6 linked regions of the Canis lupus familiaris genome follow. The protein of the gene in region 6 interacts with the protein of the main gene of each other region in a pairwise test. Links are inferred from orthologs where the notes say so. Each region holds a gene or a part of one and is shown on either strand. Other genes may lie near its edges.

Region 1 (3,500 bases), on a different chromosome or scaffold from region 6:
AAGGCCTTCGAATTTTATTTTTTCCCCTGAATGAAGTTATTAACACAATACACGCTGAATATCTATGTGCTAGATTCTACTCTGGGCTTTGGAGAACAAAAAAATAAAAACATCCCTACTTTCGTGGAACTTAGTTTCATTTTTTTGGTATATGCTTCCATATTTCTATAAAATGCTTATGAAACTCTTTGAGTTTCAGGGCTCTCTGCTTACCTGCTTTGATAAGAATCTAGCTCGCTCACACCCTCCCAGGCCCCTCCCTCCATCTCCTCCTCCTCCTGTCAGCTGCACCCTCTCCTGAGGGCCACCCTGTGACACTTGTCCTTTCTCTTCTCCCTAGCCGGGGCCATCTGGCTGGACTGCATCGTCCTCTTTCAGGCTTTACCTCCTTATATTGAAGAAGTATATCCTCCTGAAGTTTCTAAGAAAGAATATGTGAAAGATAAACTTTGTTTCCCCTATTCTAGAATATCTAAAGGTTTTCTGACTTTATTCTCACATTTGATTGATAGTTTGGCTAAGTTGAGTATTTAAGGTTGGAAAGGAACTTTTCATGCTGAGTTAGAAAGGCAAGGCTTCAGTATCTTCTAGCTTCCTGAAGTTGCTATTGAATGGTAAAATGCAATTCCTCTTTCTATCCTTCAAAGTGACTGGTTTTCCTTCTTAGGATCTTTTTGCATCTTTACTTCATCTTTGTCCTCTTGAAATTTTACATGACATAAATAAGTGAGATTTCCCCCCATTCATTTGTATTTGGTGTAAGGTGGGCCCAATATATCTGGGATCTCATTTCTTTGGTAGAAAATTCCAGAGATTGGGCTCTTTTACTGGGGAAGCTAATACATTAGTATATTTAGACCTTTCCTCTGGAGCTCTTCATTTTTCCGTAGAGAGAAACTGTTTCTCCTGAGAGTATGTATACCCCTGGCTGCCAGCAACCAGGGTGTGTGTGTTGTGGGGTTGTGGGGGTGGGTCAGGAGTCACAGACTTGCACTAACGTCCCTCTTTTCAGTCCTTCCTTCATCCCTGTCCTCTGCTGCTGTGCCTTTGGACTTTGTGTCTTGACCCTGTTTCAACTCAGATACTGAACTTCTCACAACGTGGGTGTGTGCACACACATATGTAAACACCTTCACCCTTCCTCCTGCAGAACCTAATTCTTCCACATCCTGACCTCTTCCAGGATGCAGAAGAACTGACCTCCAGCTCACTGGCCTTCCCCCTTCACAGATACTTAAGATGCAGCTCCCTCAGCACTCAGGCAGTCACCATTCACATCTTATCTCTAACATAGCTCTGAAATCTCTTCATCGTAATTATGGAGTCTCCCTTTCTGGGTCTTTGTGAGTTATGTTGTTTTATAATCATTTCAGGGAGGATTAGAAAACATTTAAGTCTGGACTGAATCCACAATGTTCAATCAGTGGTTCCAGAGTGGTTTTCATATTTAAAAATTTTCAAAGCAAATAGTTATTGAACATTTCAAATATAATATATACCTGATTTTAATGCTATAAGTGAGAGTGAGTTTTACTTAACTAAAATTTAAAACTGTGGGGCAGCCCTGGTGGCTCAGCGGTTTAGCGCCGCCTTCAGCCCAGGGCCTGATCCTGGAGACCCAGGATCGAGTCCCACGTCGGGCTCCCTGCATGGAGCCTGCTTCTCCCTCTGCCTGTGTCTCTGCCTCTCTCTTTCTCTCTGTGTCTCTCATGAATAAATAAATAAAATCTTAAAAAAAAAAAAAACTCTCTTAAAAAAAATTTAAACCTGTGAATATCTGTTCTTTTTTGATTTTGTGTATTTGTTCAAAAAACACAACTAGAATATTAATCCATTTTCTTGCTTTAGTAATTACAGTCTATTAAACATGTAACCTCATCTGCAGTGATCTGGGGTCATCGCTCCAAACATTGATTATGACTGCAGTATAATAAAACTGTGCAGGAGAGAGTATCTGGTGGAATGTATATCAACCATCAGAACATGCTCTAGTTAATATAAAACAAAAGAAAACCCCAAAAGAGATTTTAAAAATTCTCCTTTAAAAATCAGAGAAGGGCAGCCCCGGTGGCGCAGTGGTTTAGCGCCGCCTACAGCCTGGAGTGTGATCCTGGAGACCTGGGATGGAGTCCCAAGTCAGGCTCCCTGCATGGAGCCTGCTTCTCCCTCTGTCTGTGTCTCTGTCCCACCCCCCTGAATAAATGAATAAATCTTTAAAAAAATAAAAATAAAAATCAAAGAGAAAAACGGTTTTACTATTTGTTTGCCTTAATTTTAATCTAAAAGTATTCTGTAGAATAAGCAATGCCACATCCTCCTAATGTACTCACTAGTCCCAAAGAATAAATTAGCCTCTACATTAGGGTGTGTTCACTCAAAAGAGATTCTAATGCATTTTTCTAATGCTGCAAAGAGACTTTTAGCTTGTGTTAAAGCTTCCAGAGGTGAAGTTTTTGAAATGTGTGCAGGGGAGGAGGAGACTATATATATGAAGAGACTATAATTGATTATTTCAAATCCAATTTTCAAATATTTTTATTAAATTAGAGAGAAAGCTACCTGAATCGTTCTTGGCCTGCTGTATCCCATATCTGTAACTTTACATATTTACCACCAACATTTATTATCTTTGAACCAAATTCCACTCCTATTGTATGATTTGAGTCATCTTTGACTGAAAAAGAAAAAGAACAAGATATTTAATTTCAGAACATTAAAAAAACACTTACAGACTTAAACAAATAAAATCATGGGTTAAAGTCAATGGAAATGTAATTTACTGTAGCCTTTCATTCTCCAATAGTGAGTTGATAAGAAGCACTCACTGTTTTAAACAGAACACACACACAGTTCCTACTCTGAAAGAGACAATAAGGCTCTTTCACAAAACCCCTGAAGCAAACCATTCATTTTATTTTTATTTTTTTTTAAACATTCATTTTAAAGCCTAAGCTTGGAAGTGGCTATGGCACATGAGAACCAGATCTACCTGACCACTGTTAGAGTACTGACATATGGGGGCTGCATAAAATACCTGGGTGCCATCCTGAAGGGATGCCCAGTAACAGACTTGCAACTTGGTCAGGAATGAGGTGGTGATTGTTTCTAATATTTGAATGGATAAATATTCAAGAGAAATAAAAGGGAAGGAAAAGCACTGTAGGCCCAAAAAGAAACTTGATAGACACCAAAGATTAAGGGGAAAAGAGGAAAAGATAAATAAAATAAAATGAAACCAAACCAAACAAAAACCAAAAACTCTATCCATATTATAGCTATTGAGTTTCCATGAATTTTAGTATTGTGTAGCAATAATTTTGAATGAATTTGCTGGAGAAGTCAATACTATCTGTACTGGGAGGCTGGCAAAGTAAGTAGCTCACTAAACCTACCTGGGATGAGCTGTCTGTGAAAAAACACTTCTGTGGTGATGAAGAGCTGGGCTAGCAGCTAATATTATGGCTATACAGCCCATGACTGACTTATACTTTATAACCTTA
Region 2 (4,032 bases), on a different chromosome or scaffold from region 6:
ACAAGCTCTATGGCTCCCTACTAAATTCTAAGTTCTTTAAGATCTGTTTCTTAATGATCTTTGTATAAACCAAGAGACTTAGTGTTGTGCTTGTCATGCATTCAATAGTCTACACTTTTCCCCCAAAAGAATGAATGAAGACAAACAGCAGTCTCCGCAGCCTCAGATTCGCAGGAGTGAAGGGGTTCCTGGTACCAAACCTTAAGGCCAAGACCTTCAATCTGCATCTCAGACCCTACTGCTACCATCATATTAGGGACCTAACACCTGCTCAATCCTGGATCCCAACCTGATTCTGCACCCACATCTCACTACCACTCATTTCCAGTGGAGCAAAGCTTCAGGGATTAGAGTTACACGTATCTGAATTCAAATCCTACCTTTCCACTAACCAGCTGTATATTCTGGGGCAAGCTGCCACTTTATTTCTCTTTCTTTCTATCTTTCTGAGCTCAGAAACATGGCAGAGGCTGCTACCTGTCTGCCAATATCCATTCTTCTTTCTTTTATTGCCTAGGCTTTAGCTGGCCACAGAGCTGCTCAGTTAGAGAGCACAGGTCCCAAACCTTCTTTCTTGGCCGGTAGGAAATGACTAGAAGTGAGTCCTGCTATTTCTAGGGCACATTCTCCAAAAAAGAACCAAATTCTCTCTCCTCTTGCCCTTCCCCCTTCCCTCTGGCAGGAGCACGGTGGTAAAAGCTGAAGCCTTCACTTTGGATCCAGACACAAAAATCATGTAGAGGCAGCGGAGCTGCCCTCCCAGTCCTGGTCTGCTTATCCTAAAACTTGTTCATGAAACAGAAATAAACTTCACTCTTATTTAAACCACTGGGGTCATCATTTGGGGGTCTCTTTGTCACAAGACCTTAGACTATAATACACTCGATTTTCTTGGTTGTACAGAGAACAATACCTAGCTGAGATATTGTAAGGAGGAGTATGCAGCAAGATTTACAAAACCAACCTTATTCTTACCCAAATTTATGATGCTTTCCTTTAGCCTGATGTCAAAGTCATGGTCTGAGCAGAATAACTGAAAGGGAGACACTTGGAGTGGTTTGATGAGTGCAAATCAGTCATAGTCAAGATTAGGCACTACAGCACCACTCCTACCCACTGTCCCTACTCACTACCCCTTGCCCCTCACCTGCCCCCTAACCCCAGTTGGGGTAGGGACAGATATTTGTAAAAGGGAGTTTAATTTTTTTACAAATGGTGAAGACTTTGGTAACATATCCAGTTCTTATTGTTGTTTGAGGAGCCAAATCTTTTTCTTTTAACTTTATTAAGTTATTAAATTTGAATTCCAGTAGAGTTAACATACAGTGTTATATTAGTTTCAGGTGTACAATATAGTGATTCAACAATTCTATACATCTCCCAGTGCTCATCATGATAAGTGTACTCGTTAATCTCCATCACGCATTTCACCCATTCCATCACTCACTCGTCCCCTGGTGACCGTCCATTTGTTCTCTGTAGTTAAGATTCTGTGGGAGCCAAATCTGTTCTGAGGCTGTGTTTAAGTGTTGAATTCAGCCTTAAGGGCAAATGTAAGAGGCATGACTGGAACGCTCAATGTAGCAAGAAAGGAGCAAACTGAGGGGAGCTCCTCTCAAGAGCACAGGAGGCCTGTATGGGCACCCACCATCCTAAAACACCAAAAAAAAAAAACTCCCTAAAAGTTGGAAAATAATGATTTTTGGGTACTGACCCATAGTCAAAATTGGAAAGATTCATATCATAGGTTCTTAATTAGAATCACTTGAATCTCCCCCCATCTTCCTCACCAAAAGTAATTGATACATCCTTCATATTAATGCTCAATTTCAAAATTTGTGTATCATCTGGGAGTTTTGGGGATAGTTAAGGGCCCACTTAATAAACAGAAAATTTTCAATCAGCACTTACCCCATTGTATTATGGGCTTGGTTCTCCATGTCAAGAAATTGCTGTATCTGGTTTGTTTCTTGATTTTTAATCTATTAGGGGAAAAATGATCTAGATCATTAAAACACTTACACTTATTAACCTATAAAACAAGAAAATTCTGCTCTCAGCAAACCATGTAGTGTGAGCTTCTCCAAGTGTAGCAGCTTTTGGTGCTACAAAATGTAGAAAATTAGGGCCTTTTAAAAAAATTCCCCCACGCATTTAGGACACTGGTTTAGCTATGAGTCGAAATCCATGGTATTGGCTGAAATGAGCAGTCATTCACTATTTCCTGAACAACACCCTGGTGCCAGGTACTTTGCAAAGTGCTCATCACACGAGATAAGTAAAACCGAATTCCTATGGTAGGGGAGTTACAGCTAAATGTTCTCAAACTTTCTTGTCTGCTAAAAGTTTGCCTTGTATTTGAGTCAACTCCTTCTTTGGCCCTTCCCGGGTTTTGTTAGAACGAATATACTATGAGATTTAGGACAGACAGGCTAAGAGTGTTTATAAAAATATAAATCTTACAATTCTGCGATGGCTCTGTGGGCACCTGCTTACCTGGATGTTGGTACCTGCCTTCAAGAAAGAGGAAGGAGGAACACGTTTATCCCAGCCACAAAGTGTTAATTAAAAAATGACATGGAAGGATCGAAGAGAACTTCAACTCCCGAGTCACTACATCAAAGTCAACGAAACAGCCTCCGAGAGGGAGGAGGAGGAGGGAGACTGCGGGCTCCGGCCCTCCCAGACCGAGGACCAGAGGCTCGGGGAGCAGCGAGGCGAGGACCGCGGCGTCGGAACCACAGCCCGGCCGGACGGACGCACCGAGGCTAATCTCACTGCGCCGGTTCCCCACCGCTCACTTGGGCGCCAGCGCAACGAGGCACCGGGAAGCGAGGTCCCCGCCCGGCCCCGGGTCGCCCCCGCCCCCGCCCCCGCCCCCGCCCCCGCGGGCCGCGCCGAGCCCGTGCCCAGGCCGGGGGCTCACCTGCGCCGCGCCGCGCTCCCCGGGAGGCCCGAGCCGCCCCCCCCCGCCGCCGCGCCCAGGGCCCCCCCCGCGCTCCCGCCGCCAGCGCCCGCCCGCCCGCCCCGGCCGTTAGGGCCTCCGGGTCCCGGAGCCGCCCGCCCGCAGAGCCGCCCTGGTTGCCACGGGGACGCGGCCGAACTCGGGGCCGCCCGGGGCGGGGGCAGGGCTGGCGGCGGCGGCCGTGCGGGGCTCGGGTCGCGCCCCCGGGACCCGCCGCTGGGTGCTCGGCGAGGCCCTCCCGACACCGCTGCCTCGGTCCTCGCCCCTGGACCACCCGGGGCGGGCGGGGAGGGGAGCGGGCACGGGGTCTCTGCCACGGTTCCTTTCCTTTTCCTTTCCTTTCCTTTCCTCTCCTCTCCTCTCCTCTCCCCTCCCCTCCCCTCCCCTCCCCTCCCCTCCCCTCCTTTCCCCTTTCCTCTCCTCTCCTTTCCCCTTTCCTCTCCTCTCCTTTCCTTTCCTTTCCTTTTCTTCCTTTTTCCTTTCCTTTCCTCTCCTCCTTCTTTCCTTTCCTTTCCTTTCCTTTTTCCTCCCCTCCCCTCCTTTCCCCTTTCCTCTCCTCTCCTCTCCTCCCCCTCCCCCCTCCCCCCGCTCCTTTCCCTTCCTCCCGCCCTCCTTTCTCCCCTTTCCTTTCCTCTTCCTCTCCTTTTCCCTGCCTCCTTTTTTTTTTTCCGTTCCTTTTTCTTCCTTTCATTTTCCTCTTTCCTTTCCCGTTTTTTTTCGCTTTCCTTTCCTTTTCCTTCTTTCTTCCTTTCCTTTTTTCCTTTCTTTCTTTCTTTTTCTTCCTTTCTTCTTTCCTTTCTTTTCTTTTCTTCTTTTCTTTTTTCTTTTTTCTTTCCTTTCCTTTCCTTTCGTCTTTTCTTTCCTTTTCTTTCTTTTTTCTTTTCTTCCTTTCCTTTCCTTTCTTTTTTTCTTTTCTTTATTTTCTATTAAAGGGTCTTTCCTACGCCCGCTGTGGGGCTCGAACTCACCACCCAGAGATCAAACGTTGCGGGCTCTACTGAGAGCCAGCGAGGCGCCCTGACATCCAACTTCCTTAAATCCCCCCGACCCTCTTCCCTCTCCCCCAT
Region 3 (3,453 bases), on a different chromosome or scaffold from region 6:
CTGGATGGCAACAAGAGGGTGCAGGAAGCAGCCTGCAGGTGACTCTCGACCCCTGCCCCCACAGCCCCCACCCCTGCCCCCACTGGCTGCCTTCTGGGAAGTGATGACACTCATGACCCTTGACATCCTGCTGATTTCTGACGTATTCGTACTGGCTGATCCCAAGTGCATGTCCTCCCCGCACCCCTCAACCCCCCACCCCAGGGCCCAGCCCCACTTGTGACCACCCACTAAACCCCTTCCCCACTCCAGTGCCTTCGCCACCCTGGAGGAGGAGGCCTGCACAGAGCTAGTGCCCTACCTCAGCTATATCCTGGACACCCTTGTCTTTGCCTTCGGCAAGTACCAGCACAAGAACCTGCTCATCCTCTACGATGCCATCGGCACCTTGGCTGACTCTGTGGGCCACCACCTCAACCAGCCGGTGAGACCCCACAGCATCTCCCTCTCTTGATCCCCCTGCCCCTCTGCATCCAGTGACCTGGCGGCGACGCCGTGTCGCACGCCAGGGACATGGCCGTGACCTCAACAGGCAGACAGACAGACCTGGCCCCCGCCCTCGCCCTGCTCCCAGTCTAGCGGGGGAGACAAACAGTTATGAAACAGCGTGGTAAGTGCTGTGCTGGGGAAGCTCAGGGGCCTGCGGGAACCAGGAGTGCTGACCCCCAGGCTCTGAGGGGGTGGAGCAGGGTGGGGCGGGGCTAGGGACTGGTGAGAAGGGAATGGACCAGAAGGGCCTGGAGGTCCGGCTGGATGGCAAGGCCTTGTAGGGCCCCATGAGCCACCGAGATGCTCAGACCTCATCACTCAGGCAGTAGGCGCCTCTGTGTCATGGGGAGCCCTGCTGGTGCCAAGCTGCCACCCCCCACCCAGGGAGCCCCAACTTCTTGCTCCCTCTCTAGGAATACATCCAGAAGCTGATGCCTCCGCTGATCCAGAAGTGGAATGAGCTCAAGGATGAAGACAAGGACCTTTTCCCTCTGCTGGAGGTGGGTGGGCTCCAGGCCCTTTCCCAGAGCCCTGCCCCGTCCTTCCTGAGTTCACCTCTCCTGCCCTCCTCCCAACCAGTGCCTGTCATCGGTGGCCACTGCCCTGCAGAGCGGCTTCCTGCCCTACTGCGAGCCGGTCTACCAACGCTGTGTCACTCTGGTGCAGAAGACTCTGGCCCAGGCCATGGTGAGCATCCCACCACCAATACCCACCCCTGCTGCCCCGCTCCTCTGTAGCTGCCCGTAACCTGGGTCCCCTCGCCTTAACCTGCTTGCCTGCCCCATCTGTGCCCAGATGTACACCCAGCACCCTGAGCAGTATGAGGCCCCTGACAAGGACTTCATGATCGTGGCCCTGGACCTGCTCAGCGGCCTGGCTGAGGGCCTGGGCGGCCATGTGGAACAGCTGGTGGCCCGTAGCAACATCATGACGCTGCTCTTCCAGTGCATGCAGGTGGGTGGGCCCCTCGCAAGCTCTCTCGTTGCAGTGAAGACATAGCAGCCTGTGCAGATCACCCTGGGATGACTCAGGGCCCTGGTTGTGACTGAAGGAAATCAGGAGAAAGGGACCCATGGGGGGAGGAGGGGAGCCTATATTTATTTTAAAAAGTGATTCCAGTAAGATATGAATAAAGTCTCATTAAATGAGCTAACGACGTAGAAAATTAAACAGAGAAACAAGGGGCGCCTAGCTGGCTCGGTGGAGCATGGGACTCTTGATCTCAGGGTGGTGAGTTCTAACCCCATGCTGGGTATAGAGATTACTTAAAAAATGTGGGGGGGGGGATATGAAAGCATAAGCTCCTCCAACTTTACACACACCCATGCACCCAGTGTATCGGGATGGGCCGCAGTTAGGCCTGCTCCCTGCTGTGGTGGTACCCTGACCAAGGCCCTGTGGTTCACTGTGTCCCAGGTTTATAGATGGGCCCCATGACAGGAAGTGTGCCAGGGTCAGGCTGTGCTCTGGGGCCCGCACCCCTAGCTGCCCTGCCTGAGGGATTACTCAGGATCCCAGCTGGTTGGGGGGCGGGGAGCCTTGCCACACTGACCCTGCTCTGACCCCTCAGGACTCCATGCCAGAGGTTCGGCAGAGCTCCTTTGCCCTCCTGGGAGATCTCACCAAAGCCTGCTTCATCCATGTCAAGCCCTGTATCGGTATGGAACCGTCTTCTCCTCACCCCGCGACCCCAGCTCTGGCCTCAAATGATGGAAAAAGATGACTTTGGGAGGATAATGACCAAACTGGATTGTATTCGTACTGTCTGATGGGGTCTGCCCGGCCAGGTCCAGGAGCTCACCCTGGCTTGCCCTCCTGCTCAGCACTCCTTTTTCTCCCCACCAGCCGAGTTTATGCCCATCCTGGGCACCAACCTGAACCCTGAGTTCATCTCTGTGTGCAACAATGCCACCTGGGCCATCGGCGAGATCTGCATGCAGATGGGTGAGTGCCCTGCAAGCTGACAGGCCCTACACCCACCCACCCCCACCCCCACCCCCCCTCCTGTTCCTTCCTGGGGGCAAGACCCTGGCTGTGACTGACCGGTCCCCTTAAGAGAGCCCTGGTGCTGCTTGAGTATTGCAGCAGTTGGTGATGCAAAGAAGCCATTTCTGAGTACTTTCGCGGGGATGCTGCCAAATGCTTGGAAAAGGCATCTAGGATAGGGGTTTCTAAAGAGGCGGAATCAGGAGGCCTGTTCAGATTGGATTGTTCCTGACCTACTCCCCTCCCTGCCATGCACTTGGCTGAAAGGTCCGCTGGGATTGGTTGGGAGAATTTGGCCGCCTCCCTCCCCATCTACCCCCCCCCCCCCGGGCCCCATGGAATCTGGGTAATGTGGTCTAACCCTGCTGTTGAGCATGACTCCAAGGAAGCTTCTGGTGTCTGGAAGGTGTGGGCCTGTCCCTGGTTGGCCATGGGTCCAGAGCTGGGCACCAGCCGGAGAATGAGTTTTGTTCTCTCACTGGTTTCAGTTGGCCAGTGTCTGGGTGCAACTGGGGTCAGCATGGATGGTATGGGCCCTGCGGGGCTCTAACTAACTGGTCCCCCAGGGGCAGAGATGCAGCCCTACGTGCAGATGGTCCTCAACAACCTGGTGGAGATCATCAACCGGCCCAACACACCCAAGACGCTGCTGGAAAACACAGGTGGGCACCAGGCCTGAGCAGCTGCTGTCCCCTTACCTGGAATTGGGGTTCCCAGCTGGGAGGGGGGTGGTGAAGAGACCTCGGGAAAGAACAAGGGAAGGTGTCTGGGAAGAGCACCAGGGAAGCTGCTGGCCTCAGGGGAGTCCCTGGTAGGGCCTATTCCCTTGGGGCCCACGGGGCGGGGCTGGTGCCTCATGCCAGAGGCCCCGCCACGTACCGTCCCGGGGCCGCTCGGGGTTGCAGGTCGCCTGACGAGTCCCTCTGCCATTCCAGCCATCACCATCGGCCGCCTGGGCTATGTGTGCCCTCAGGAGGT
Region 4 (3,500 bases), on a different chromosome or scaffold from region 6:
TAATACCATACTTGCAAAACTGAAATTACTTTTACTAGCTTAAGAATTAAATTTGAGATCACAATTTCATTTTCCTTAAGATAAAAAAAAATAAACAAGCAGCCAACTACCTGTAATATAAAAACTTGGAAAGAATAGCCTTCTGATACCAGTGCTCTTTGCTCTTTTTCTTCCTCTGCCACTTCTGATCAATGAGTCTTTGATAAAACTCTTTCAGCCACGTCCAATCACCCGTCTGAGTAACAAAAGAAAATGATAAATACAACAAATCTGTAATCAAAACAATTGGTTATCCTCTACTCTTTTACAGGAAATATTCTTTTTTTAAAAAATACTATTTCATAAACACATATGTAAACACTGTCTTTCTAGACTTAATCTCTATTACCTCTTTTGGGAAATCTGTCTTCCTCTTCTCCCCAAGCCAGGCTGAGAAGTGGTCTAACACATTCCTTAGTACCTGGAATAAACCCTAATATGCATACCATATTGATATTATCTGTGATTGTTTACAATGCCAAGACTTTAAGCTGCCAGCAAACAAGGACTGTGATTTACTCATTATCACATTTCAAGAGCTTGACCAGTGCCAAGGATACATACAGAAACAGGGAATAAGCCTCAAAAAACTGCAACACTGCCTTTACACTTGACAAAAAGTATCCACTATCAATACATGGGGGGTGGGGAGTCATGTACCAAAATACAGTTTGAGAAGCTTTGCTTTTAGTGAATCACTTAATTCTAATAACTATGTATTCATAGAAATAACCTCTAATATTTTCACATTTCCTGGCAATTGTTTCATGAGAATCTCTTCAATGGAGACATCAAAGGATTTTTAAAAAATTTTAACTATTCCCTTAAGTTACTGATTTTTCACAACTTTCTTCATTGGTTTCATCCTCTTCCTTGCAAGAATCCTGGCTGTTGGTTATAAAATAAGTTTCTTCCTCATTCACTCTTTTCTATTTCCTATTAAGGCTTCTTTATATTCCAAGAAATGTCTCATTTCTCAGTTGCCAAAGTGCTAAACTGTGTTTCTGCTTCAGCCTTTCTTAGAAACAATATTTCTAGTGCCCTTAAGTTGTTAAAAAAGTGGGTTACTAGTTGTTTTTCCAGAAAAAGCATTACCTGAGATGATCTCATAAAGAGTTCTTGAATATCTAACTCATCGAGTAAGAGAGTCCTTCCTATGCGGTGTACAGCCATGCTTACATGGGACTTGCTGTAGGGAATCTTCAGGAGCTTTTTTATGTTCTTTAAAAAATTAAAAGGAAAAACAGTTAAAAAGATCTTTTTAGGGTAGCTTGAACACTTTCAAATTTTAACTTCATTTAATTTTAAAGCACAATAAACTTTATTTCCCTAAGGTTATACAAACTATATTTCACACAAAGAGCTAAATACAAACTCATGGAAAACAAAACTTTAAAACCAGAATTACCCAAGTGGCTCAGTCAGTTAAGCACCTGCCTTTGGCTCAGGTCATGATCCCAGAGTCCCAGGGCCCAGGCTCTGCATCAGGCTCCCTGCTCAGTGGAGAGTCTGCTTCTGCACCAGGCCCTACACCCCCGTCCCTGCCCCTGGCTCCCTTTCTCTCTCTCAAATAAATAAATAAAATCTTTAAAATTTTTATTTTATTTATTTTTAAAAGATTTTATTTATTTACTCACGAGAGACAGACAGAGAGACAGAGACAGAGAGAGAGAGAGAGAGGGGCAGAGACACAGACAGAGGGAGAAGCAGGCTCCATGCAGGGAGCCCGATGTGGGACTCGATCCCAGGACTCGAGGATAACGCTCTAGGCTGAAAGTGGCGCTAAACTGCTAAGCCACCCGGGCTGCCCTAAAAAAAATTTTAAAAATAAAATCAGGATCACCTACATTTTACCAGCCATTCCGTGTTAATGCAAATGAAGGTCAAAGATGTATTTTAACACAATAGAATTTCCTAAAATTAAGTGTGTATAGGTCACTTTTGCACTGACTTAAGTTTTTAGCATATTGGATAAAATTACCAACTAAGGAGCAACTGATTTGCTGTAAGTATCATTTCTTGTTTTCAACTGGTAATATTATATAAATCACCCCAAACATTACAATAATTTATAATTGCTACCATTAAAACACAACTATCAATATTAACATCACCACTGCCAGTGTTTTGGGCATCACTCCTTCCTTCTTGAAAGATGTAGCAGGGCATTACTTTACTAACAAAAAAGGTATTTGATAATCAGACGGTTGAATCTTATTTCATCAGTAATTTTTCAAGACTATACAACAAAGCATGTTATAAATCCCTAACATAAACACCCCAATTACATTTCCCAACAAGGACACTTACTTCAGAGTCAGAGACAACGTCCACATCATTTCCCACAGAATCAATAAAGTCGTATGCCATACCAAAGCTAATGGAGGGAACAAAGGCCACAAAGGTCACGCTCATAGTGATACAAGCAGAGTTTATAGGAGAAAACAGTGTTCCATCACTTCCAGGATACCCATTTTCTACATTCTTACATCTCTGAAATCAATATGCCTATCACCATTAGAATCAAGTAGTTTTTCCTTCTTAGTGGTACAAAGACTTAATCACAGATTAGATAATATATAGTAATAGAAGCAATAGGAAACACTAGAACAAAAAAAAAAAAAAACAATTGACTTTTTAAGTTACAAATCCCCACCCCAAATCTCCAAAAGTAAACAGTTCAAGATATTATTCTTTTTACGTGATGAGATAGGAAACATTTATCAGGATTTAGTCTCTAGGGCTGTGTTGCTAGTGATACACAATACTACTTTTTCAGGATTGGGGGTGGGGTGGGGGAGAACCTGACCCCAATTGAGCCAGAAGAAGAAAAGAAAAAAAATGTTGTGTCAGGTGCCACGTGAGGCACGTCTATAATCACTAAGCCTGAAAAGCAGCTGATGTCACCATTTTTCAGTTAGTAAGTGGCAGAGGATCAGAACACTTACCTAGGACCGCCTCACTTCAAAGCACGCTCTGATTTATACCATGTGGGCTAGGCAAGTTACTTAACCTTACCAAGCCTCAGTTTTCCCATGTGAAAATTAGTTAACACAACCTAACTCAAAGGGTTGTTGCGAGAATTCAATGAGATAAACGTATGAAGTACTTGGCACACTGCACACAGTCGATATAAATATAAAAATTTAAATCACTTCATAATATTTAATTGCATTGACATATAATTTATTAGGCCATTCTTCTAAAAGAAAATATCTGGACTATTTCCAACTTTTTGCTAGTATAAGTAATACTATAAACAACATTTTGCAAATAGGACTTTTACCTTCAGAGGCATTAGGATAATTTCTAAACTACTAACTCATTAGGTATTAATATATTTATGGCTCTTGCTAGCTTAGGCCGACATATTTTAGGTTTAGTCATGGAGGGGGAAACAGAAAAGAATCCTGCACATTAAATATTCTACAAGAATATAAATGTTAGCATACGTTTCTTTC
Region 5 (4,156 bases), on a different chromosome or scaffold from region 6:
CCTTTCATACACTCTGCTTACAAGAGTCTGAATTGCCACATTTTTTTGGGAAGTAAACAATATATTTTAAAATCTTAAAGATAATCCCAATCAACTGTGACCAAGAAGTAGCCTACAGATACAAGATCTTCAATCCATAAGGTTATAGGTCCAACTGCATCTAATGCAGTACTTATACAGCAAACAAAACAAAACCCAAAACCAAAAAAACTGGAAACAATCTATACTTCTATCAACAGGGAAATGACTAAAGTATCATGAAATAACATGCTTCTAGTTTAAAAACCATTCAGAGATGGATAATAAACTTAAAAATATATCCATGATTTTTAAGTGGAAAAAAAAAAGTTGATAGAATTTTATGCAGTGGCATATCCCATTTTTAAACACACACACATACACACACTCTCCCTCAAACCTGTATACAGATAATATGGAAGGATACACACCAAATTGTGAAAAATGAGTATGTGGACTGAGAAGAAAAAGGATAGGGAGAAATTATTAACTTTATATAACTCTATTAACAGTGTAAGCATGTGCTATATTCACTGGTGATATTCTAAAGTATTCAAAGTAGATAAAGAACTATTCTAATACAAAACAAACAAGAATCAACAAAAACAAGCAGCGCCTGGGTGGCCCATTCAGTTAAGTGGTCAACTCTGGACTTTGGCCCAGGTCATCATCTCAGGAGTCGGCTTGAAGATTTTCTCTCCCTCTGCCCCAGCCCCAGCCCCAGCCCTACTCACATGCCTTCAATCTCTCTAGAATAAATATTTTCCAAAAATAAAACAACTCCCATTCATAATAGTTCCAACATTACTTACACATTTACAATAATATGGGGAAATTCATAATAATATGGGGAAAGTCAATCATATGATCGGCCTCAAAAAACACACTCCGAAAATTGACAGCATTTTTTCTTTTTTAATACCTTGGCTTTTACTGTGTTCACTCAGGCACTACGTCTGACTAATCCTCTCACAACCATTAAACGGCTATTTTATTCTACTTCTTAGGACGAACGATGCTACGATGTAATTTTTACATAACTTATTCAAGACAACACAGGACAAAAACAACCCACAAAGATTCCAGGTGATTTACATTCTGATCCTCATTATTAACATTACTAAGCTTGGTTTGGGGTTTTGCTACACGTAAGACATCTCGTTATAGACACAGAACTGGACCGAGCGCCCAAAAGCACTGTGATCCCAACACGGAAATCCTTGTTGAGCATCTGCGAAGCACAGAGTCTGCGTGAGGCTTTGACAAGGCAGGAGCGACCAAGAGGAGCGTCGCGCCCGCCTCCCGGAGACTTAGCGGCGGTCGGACTCGCTAACAGGCTGTGCCGGGGACACAGTGTAGACCGGTGCTGTGCTCGGGGAATCCGAATGCGCGGTCTCAGCAGTAACGCAACCTCGGAGAAGAGCCCACCCATTCTGACCTCCACTTTAAAAAACTCACTCTTGGCAGGACAGTCAATGTCACATCTTTGCATCAACTAATACAAGAAAAAGAGCCGGGTTTCTACTGTGCCACGAGCAGGGCAGTTCTGCCGTCATGGCCGCAGCCTAGGAAGAAAGTGCTTGGGCGCCGCAGCCGTGCTTCAAGGGCAAGAACCAGCCAGGGGCCCGCACCTACTTTACTACAAGCACTAAGAGGGCCAGAAACGGCCAAAGTTTCACTGATGAAACGTGATGTCTGAAGGGAACGGTCCTCAAAGCAACGTGGCGGGGGGGGGGGGGGCGACCCCGACACTCCCGGGACCCCCCCGCACACGCTGGAAGCTACGCCCTCAAGTTCCGAGGCGCAGCCCGTCCGCGCGCAGGCGTGTCTCGGCCGCACCAGACGTCCCGGGCTCCGGCGTCCTGCCTGGGCCGAGGCCGCTCCCGCGGAGCCCTCTCCTACCGCGGTTACGTAAAGACGCTCGCGGCGGGACGGGCCCGGGCTGGGTCGTCAGAAGCAGAGACTTGAAAGACGTCGCTTGAGCCTCAAGAATCTGGGGCCGTTCGGCTTTAGAGGAGCCTCCCGCGGCCTCCCGCGACCGCCTTCCCTCCTCTGCAAGCAACGACTGACCTTACACCCGCCCTGCAGGTGAGGCGGCGAGGCCGGAGGGCGCGGGGGCTCGCGGCGGGGGGCGCCGGGGGCGGGGACGGGGACGCGGACCTCGCAGCCCCCAGCCCGGGCCCGACCGGGCCAAGCGGAGCCGGCGCAGTCGGCAGCCAGGGCCACCGGCGACGGGCTCCCTGCTCCGCCGTCTCCCCTCCAGTCCCAGAAACGCTCAAAACCCACAACTTTTTGTCGCCTTCACGGCGGGCCGACGCCACCCAAGCTCGGCGCCGTCCGGGCCGCCCCGGCCCTCAGCAGCCGCGGCCCTCAGCCTCCCCGGCCCTCAGGGCCCTCACCGCCCCGGCCCTCCGCCGCGGCCCCGCCGACAAGGACACCGAGCCCCGCCGCGCCGGCGAGGCCTCCAGCTGCCGCCTTTGTGCCCGGGCCCACGCGGGCCGGCGCCGGGGCCGGGGCTCCACGTCCGGGCTCGCGGGGGCGGCGGCGGCCGGCCGCACACGCCCTCGCCCGCGCCCTCGCCCGCGCCCCCGCCGCCCCCGCCCCCCGGCCGGCCCGCCCGCGGCGCCCCCGCCCCCGCCCCCCGCCCCCGCGCCAGGCGGCCGCGGCCCGACGGACGCTGCGGAAGGCCCGGCTCACCTGGGGGGTTGCTGGTGGCTGGGCAGCTTTCCGGGCGGGCGGGGGGCGTCAGGACGAGGAAGCGGGCGCGGCGGGCGGCGCGGGCGGGCGGGCGGGCGGGCGGGCGGCCGGGGCCCCGGGGGCGGCGGGCTGGCCGACGAGGTGCAGGCGCGCCGGCGGCAGCGGCGGGGGCGGCGGCGACGGCTCCGCGGCTCCCTCAGGATCTCCTCGGGCAGGTCCAAGATGGCGGCGCTCCCTGCACAGGGTTTCCTGTCACCCTCGCAATGGGCCGGACCACAAAAGAAGCGGGGGGAGGAGGCTGCGCGCGCAGCCGGCGGGGCCCGGAAGACGGCGGCCGGCCCGGCCTGCTGGCCACGCCCCTTCCCCGCCGCGGCCCTCGGGACTCGCCGCGCGGCCGCCGAGACCCGCCCCGCGGGCGGCGGCGCCTGGAGGGGCGGAGGGCGGCGCTTGTGCGCAGGCGCAGCGGCCGGCGCCCGCTTCCCAGGGGCGCTCCTGCGCAGGCGCGCGCGGCACCTGCTGGGGGCGGGCCGGGCCGGGGCGGGGCGGGCCGGGCTCGGCGCTCGGTGGACCCTGCGGCTCCCGGCGCCCCGGCCCCGGCCCCGGCCCCCGCCCCCCCGCCCCCGCCTGCCGGACACGCCCGCGCCGCGCGCCCCACGCCGGGCACAGTCTGCTGCGCCCGCCCGCAGCGGGGCCCGAGGGCACGCGTCCCCGTCCCGCAGCCGCAGGAGGCTCTTGGCCCCATTGTACCGATGGCGAAACTGAGGCTCGCGTCGATCGAGCCGGGGGCCCGGGATCCAGCAGCCGGAACGTGGCGCTTCCCGTTGTGGGTCGCCTCTGCCCTCCGAGGGGCCCTGGGACGCGGGGCCCGAGCACCCCAGCACCCCGGCGCCTCCGGCCTGCCACCCTCCCGGAAGGCCCTGCGCAGCCGGCGGCGGGCGGCCCTCGGGGGACCCCAACGCCCGCCTGTGCCTGCGGAGACGGTTACGGGGATCGCCTGTTCCTGTACTTCTGTGTTCCTATTGTTAGCGTTTTACAGCTACGTTGGCGTGGAGAGGGATGTTTTAATGTCACACCGCACGACACTTTCTTTAACCTGGAAATTCATCTTTCCTTCCTGACTTTCAAAGCACTGAAGACATTTCTGCGGGTCCCCACGAAAGCATCGTGGGCCCCAGGCTCGGTGCTTCCGGTGGCTCAGGTGACGGCCCTGCCTCAGTTTACCCAAAGGAAGCTCAGGCTCTCGGCAGGAGGAGCTTTCAGAAGCTGGCTTTGCCTCGGCGACGGGACACTTCCTTGGAAAACCGTATGGCAGTTCACACATGTCTCATTTTCAGAAAGACCCGGCTGCGAATCCCTGATCTTCCACTTACTGATGACCCACGGCTGGGCACGTCCCTTGATTTCCCAGATCCGCAGTCTTTTCTGCAAAATGAGGATGATG
Region 6 (3,500 bases):
GTGTATTATCAGACTTCTTAATTTTTGCAATCTGAATGAGACTGAGTATTTTCCCTATTTTAAGTTTCATTTTCCTATTAGTGAGACTGGATATCTTATTAATAATTTACATTTTCTGTATTTGTCTATGTATATCAAAATAACCTTTCATAACTTATTCCAAAATAACCTGCATATATTATCTCCTCTTTGTAGGTAAGGAATCTGAGTTTTATAGACATTAGGTCATTGGCCACAGTAAACAGAAGAGCTGGGTTTTGGGTCCACCTCTGGCTGACTCCAGAGCCCTCACTCTTGGCTACCACATCTAATGAGAACCTACTATGTACATTTATTAGTCTTTGTTTTCTATTGATTTATATGTATAATTTGTATGTATAATTTATATTGTTTATTTGTATAATTCATATGGATTTATTGTCCATCAATATAAAATATATAATATCAATACAAAAAAAATTAAGACTGCCTCCACTCTCAGTTCCACTGCTTAAGATGTATGTATCTCAGTTTTTTCTCTGTAAAATGGAATCAAAACCTCTCAAGATTGTTACAATGATTATATGAGTTGGTGTATACCTAAAGTGCTTTGGAACGTTGTATGTACTATACAATTATTTGCCACTATTATTTGTTTTACATAATTTTCTGCTAGTAATATTGGTTACAAATATCTTCTCGCAGGCTGTGACTTATCTCCTTACTTTGTTCAAGTGTTTGTTGGACAGAAATTCTAAATTTTACTGGAGTCAACTTCTCATTCTTTTCCTTTGATATTTGGGTTCTTAAAACATCCTTCTTTCCCTATTATTTCTATTTCTTTATGAGATAGCTCTAAATCTCCCTTTTATATCTTGATTTAATATAACTTACAGAAGAAAAATTGGGAATATTCAACTTATAAAATAATATTAAAATATACTTATAATTTTAAAATAATTCTGTTCTCCAAAACAAAAACTCCATCTAATTACAAAAAATGTAATGGTTAGCTGTTCCTGTCCAGAGAGCAGATTTATATTATAACAAGGCGAAAATTAAAATACACAACTACATAAAAATGAAATAAATTTATAACTACTCTTACCCTATGACATCTTTCAAAGGCCTGTTTAGTTTCTTGTAAAAGATTAACCACCACTTCTTGAGATAGGAAAGTTTCTCCATGAGTATCGATACTTGGCCCCAGCGGTAAGTTGGTACGTTGTCTAATTCTCTCTTTCAAATCCTGAATACTAATGCATCATAACAACAAATGAAAAGAGAACATTTTACACAGATTTCAATTTTAAGTACTCTTCAATTTAGTATACATCAACAAAGAAAAATGGACTAATTGCCAAACTCAAACATTCTAATTCCAATAATTTAGTCCTGTAAAAGCAAAGCAATCTCTTAGCAGAAGACTTTCGTCTGAAAAAGGAGTATATTTGGAGTTATGACCTTTAAAATAATAATTTATAATTATGACTCTATAATTCTGACTCAACAGCCAAAAATTCCTTGTTTTATTTCCTTATTAAGTGGATTATTACAAGTAAATTAATATAACTAAACGGTCCTGCTTGCAATAAACTTTAAAAATTTAATGCTTTTTAAATACATTTAACTATTTGAGCATATTCACATTTCCTTATCATTATTAAGCAAGATATATTAAACATAATTTAGCATTCTTAATGACTGAGTTACTTTGAATATTTATTATATGGTGGTATCTTTAGGTTAGATTTCTTTTGTTCCTAGAATACCTAACTCTAGACTATTCTAAACTTTTCTAAGGTTTTTATTTTTTTTAATTTTTAAAAAAGATTTTTAAATTTATTTATTCATCAAAGACACAGAGAGAGAGGCAGAGGCATACACAGAGGCAGAGGCAGGCTCCTTGCAGAGAGACCAATGTGGGACTCGATCCCAGGACTGGGACCATGCCCTGAGCCAAAGGCAGACCCTCAACCTCTCAACCGCTAAGTCACCCAGGCATCCTGCGGTTTTTTTTTTTCTTTTCTTTTCTTTTTTTTTTTAAATAATCTTTACATTCAAGGTGTTCAAACTTACAACTCTGAGACTAAGAGTTGCATGCTCCACTGACTGAGCTAGCCAGGTATCCCAAATTATTTTTTTAATTCTCATGATTATTCTTTAGTTTTTCTCTTCCCTTACTTGCTGCTGCCTTTCAGATGGCATTTCTTATTCCTAATTATAACCTCTCCCTGATTATTATTTAGTATATGACAAACTGGGAAACAAGAAACAGATTTATTTGAGTATACTCTGGACTCTAATCATATGGCTCCACATAAATCGTTCTGCTTCATCTTAGAATCAAATGGTTCTAGGCAGCTGAGATATGGATAACAGGTGCTACCAATTCTTCCGCAAATCCTTTTCTTTTAGTATGTGAATAATCACAGATTTTAAGGAATTAATTAAATAATTTTAAGTCAAATCATGAAAAAGCTCAGGATATCTACACTGTAAACTGCTATTTTCCACTTGCAATGACAAAAAATGTATGCTTCCTAGTTAATAATGTGGAATAATTTACTCAGTCTGGAAAAAAAAAGAGACTATACGAACTCTTTATAGTTCTAGTATTCTGCTTTAAATTCTAATCGCAGTATGTTAGGTCATTCCAACATGTGTTTCAAGTGACAGGATTTGATCAATGGTGTAAATAAGCTGGGCTAATTGAGTTCTTCACAGAGAATTCCAATGACTGTCAACATTTGACAATTTTGTCCGAATATAATACAGTTCTTAAAATCTTTACTTTTAACTACAAAAATTTTTTTTTTTTTTTATGATAGTCACAGAGAGAGAGAGAGAGAGAGAGAGAGGCAGAGACACAGGCAGAGGGAGAAGCAGACTCCATGCACCAGGAGCCCGATGTGGGATTCGATCCTGGGTCTCCAGGATCGCGCCCTGGGCCAAAGGCAGGCGCCGAACCGCTGCACCACCCAGGGATCCCCAACTACAACATTTAATAAAAATACTCACCCTCCTGTGCCAATGGATCTCTTTTGATGGTTTTTTGAGTCATAATAGCGCTGTAGGATCATAGCACTTCTACTTTTCAAATATCCAGTCTCCACCTCAATATAGTTCTCCAAATAGGAAATGAAAATGGATTTGATAAGCTTAGACAAGAAAGTCTGTTTATCAGTACCTAAGTTAAACTCCATCAACTTGCTGGAAAGATTTGTAGTTCTTTTCATGGAAAAGGGGGAAAAAGAGATTAATGTATACTTTAGATACAGTAACAATACTAAGTAATATATATTTTTACAATGTGATTTTAATAACTTATATTAAACACCATTTCTTAAACCTTAGAAAGGCACTAAGGATACAGAGAGCAGCTGCATACATCTATGTATAAAGTAGACTGGATATTACAAACACTATGGTTTAGAAAACTGACTAGGGATAATCTCCTAGGGATGATTTATGAGAGGAAACTGAGGCAACCAACCAGTCTAGAAATGGCAACAGTGGCA

The links.
Region 1: the proteins of EXOC5 (region 6) and RAB4A interact in binary tests that used the Homo sapiens proteins (3 or more experiments, as listed by UniProt). The two-hybrid records come from large-scale screens. The link is inferred for Canis lupus familiaris from reciprocal best matches to the Homo sapiens genes EXOC5 and RAB4A.
Region 2: the proteins of EXOC5 (region 6) and DEUP1 interact in binary tests that used the Homo sapiens proteins (3 or more experiments, as listed by UniProt). The two-hybrid records come from large-scale screens. The link is inferred for Canis lupus familiaris from reciprocal best matches to the Homo sapiens genes EXOC5 and DEUP1.
Region 3: the proteins of EXOC5 (region 6) and TNPO2 interact in binary tests that used the Homo sapiens proteins (3 or more experiments, as listed by UniProt). The two-hybrid records come from large-scale screens. The link is inferred for Canis lupus familiaris from reciprocal best matches to the Homo sapiens genes EXOC5 and TNPO2.
Region 4: the proteins of EXOC5 (region 6) and EDRF1 interact in binary tests that used the Homo sapiens proteins (3 or more experiments, as listed by UniProt). The two-hybrid records come from large-scale screens. The link is inferred for Canis lupus familiaris from reciprocal best matches to the Homo sapiens genes EXOC5 and EDRF1.
Region 5: the proteins of EXOC5 (region 6) and RAB14 interact in binary tests that used the Homo sapiens proteins (3 or more experiments, as listed by UniProt). The two-hybrid records come from large-scale screens. The link is inferred for Canis lupus familiaris from reciprocal best matches to the Homo sapiens genes EXOC5 and RAB14.

The regions. Positions count from the first base shown.
Region 1 is NC_049225.1:10,334,192-10,337,691, forward strand, and holds part of RAB4A (ras-related protein Rab-4A), read right to left. Parts: exon of another isoform or gene 3,393-3,500; intron 2,675-3,392; coding exon 2,560-2,674; intron 1-2,559. UniProt on the Homo sapiens protein: The small GTPases Rab are key regulators of intracellular membrane trafficking, from the formation of transport vesicles to their fusion with membranes.
Region 2 is NC_049242.1:7,409,803-7,413,834, forward strand, and holds the start of DEUP1 (deuterosome assembly protein 1), read right to left. Parts: upstream 2,801-4,032; 5' UTR 2,497-2,800; intron 1,983-2,496; 5' UTR 1,941-1,982; coding exon 1,912-1,940; intron 1-1,911. UniProt on the Homo sapiens protein: Key structural component of the deuterosome, a structure that promotes de novo centriole amplification in multiciliated cells.
Region 3 is NC_049241.1:49,816,342-49,819,794, forward strand, and holds part of TNPO2 (transportin-2), read left to right. Parts: coding exon 1-38; intron 39-94; exon of another isoform or gene 95-164; intron 165-252; coding exon 253-424; intron 425-902; coding exon 903-989; intron 990-1,068; coding exon 1,069-1,176; intron 1,177-1,284; coding exon 1,285-1,443; intron 1,444-2,059; coding exon 2,060-2,147; intron 2,148-2,334; coding exon 2,335-2,433; intron 2,434-3,041; coding exon 3,042-3,137; intron 3,138-3,380; coding exon 3,381-3,453. UniProt on the Homo sapiens protein: Probably functions in nuclear protein import as nuclear transport receptor. Serves as receptor for nuclear localization signals (NLS) in cargo substrates.
Region 4 is NC_049249.1:35,257,724-35,261,223, reverse strand, and holds part of EDRF1 (erythroid differentiation-related factor 1), read right to left. Parts: intron 2,417-3,500; coding exon 2,350-2,416; intron 1,261-2,349; coding exon 1,135-1,260; intron 236-1,134; coding exon 111-235; intron 1-110. UniProt on the Homo sapiens protein: Transcription factor involved in erythroid differentiation. Involved in transcriptional activation of the globin gene.
Region 5 is NC_049232.1:74,592,241-74,596,396, forward strand, and holds the start of RAB14 (ras-related protein Rab-14), read right to left. Parts: upstream 2,801-4,156; 5' UTR 2,716-2,800; intron 2,107-2,715; exon of another isoform or gene 1,814-2,106; intron 1-1,813.
Region 6 is NC_049229.1:33,112,153-33,115,652, forward strand, and holds part of EXOC5 (exocyst complex component 5), read right to left. Parts: intron 3,211-3,500; coding exon 3,001-3,210; intron 1,236-3,000; coding exon 1,088-1,235; intron 1-1,087. UniProt on the Homo sapiens protein: Component of the exocyst complex involved in the docking of exocytic vesicles with fusion sites on the plasma membrane.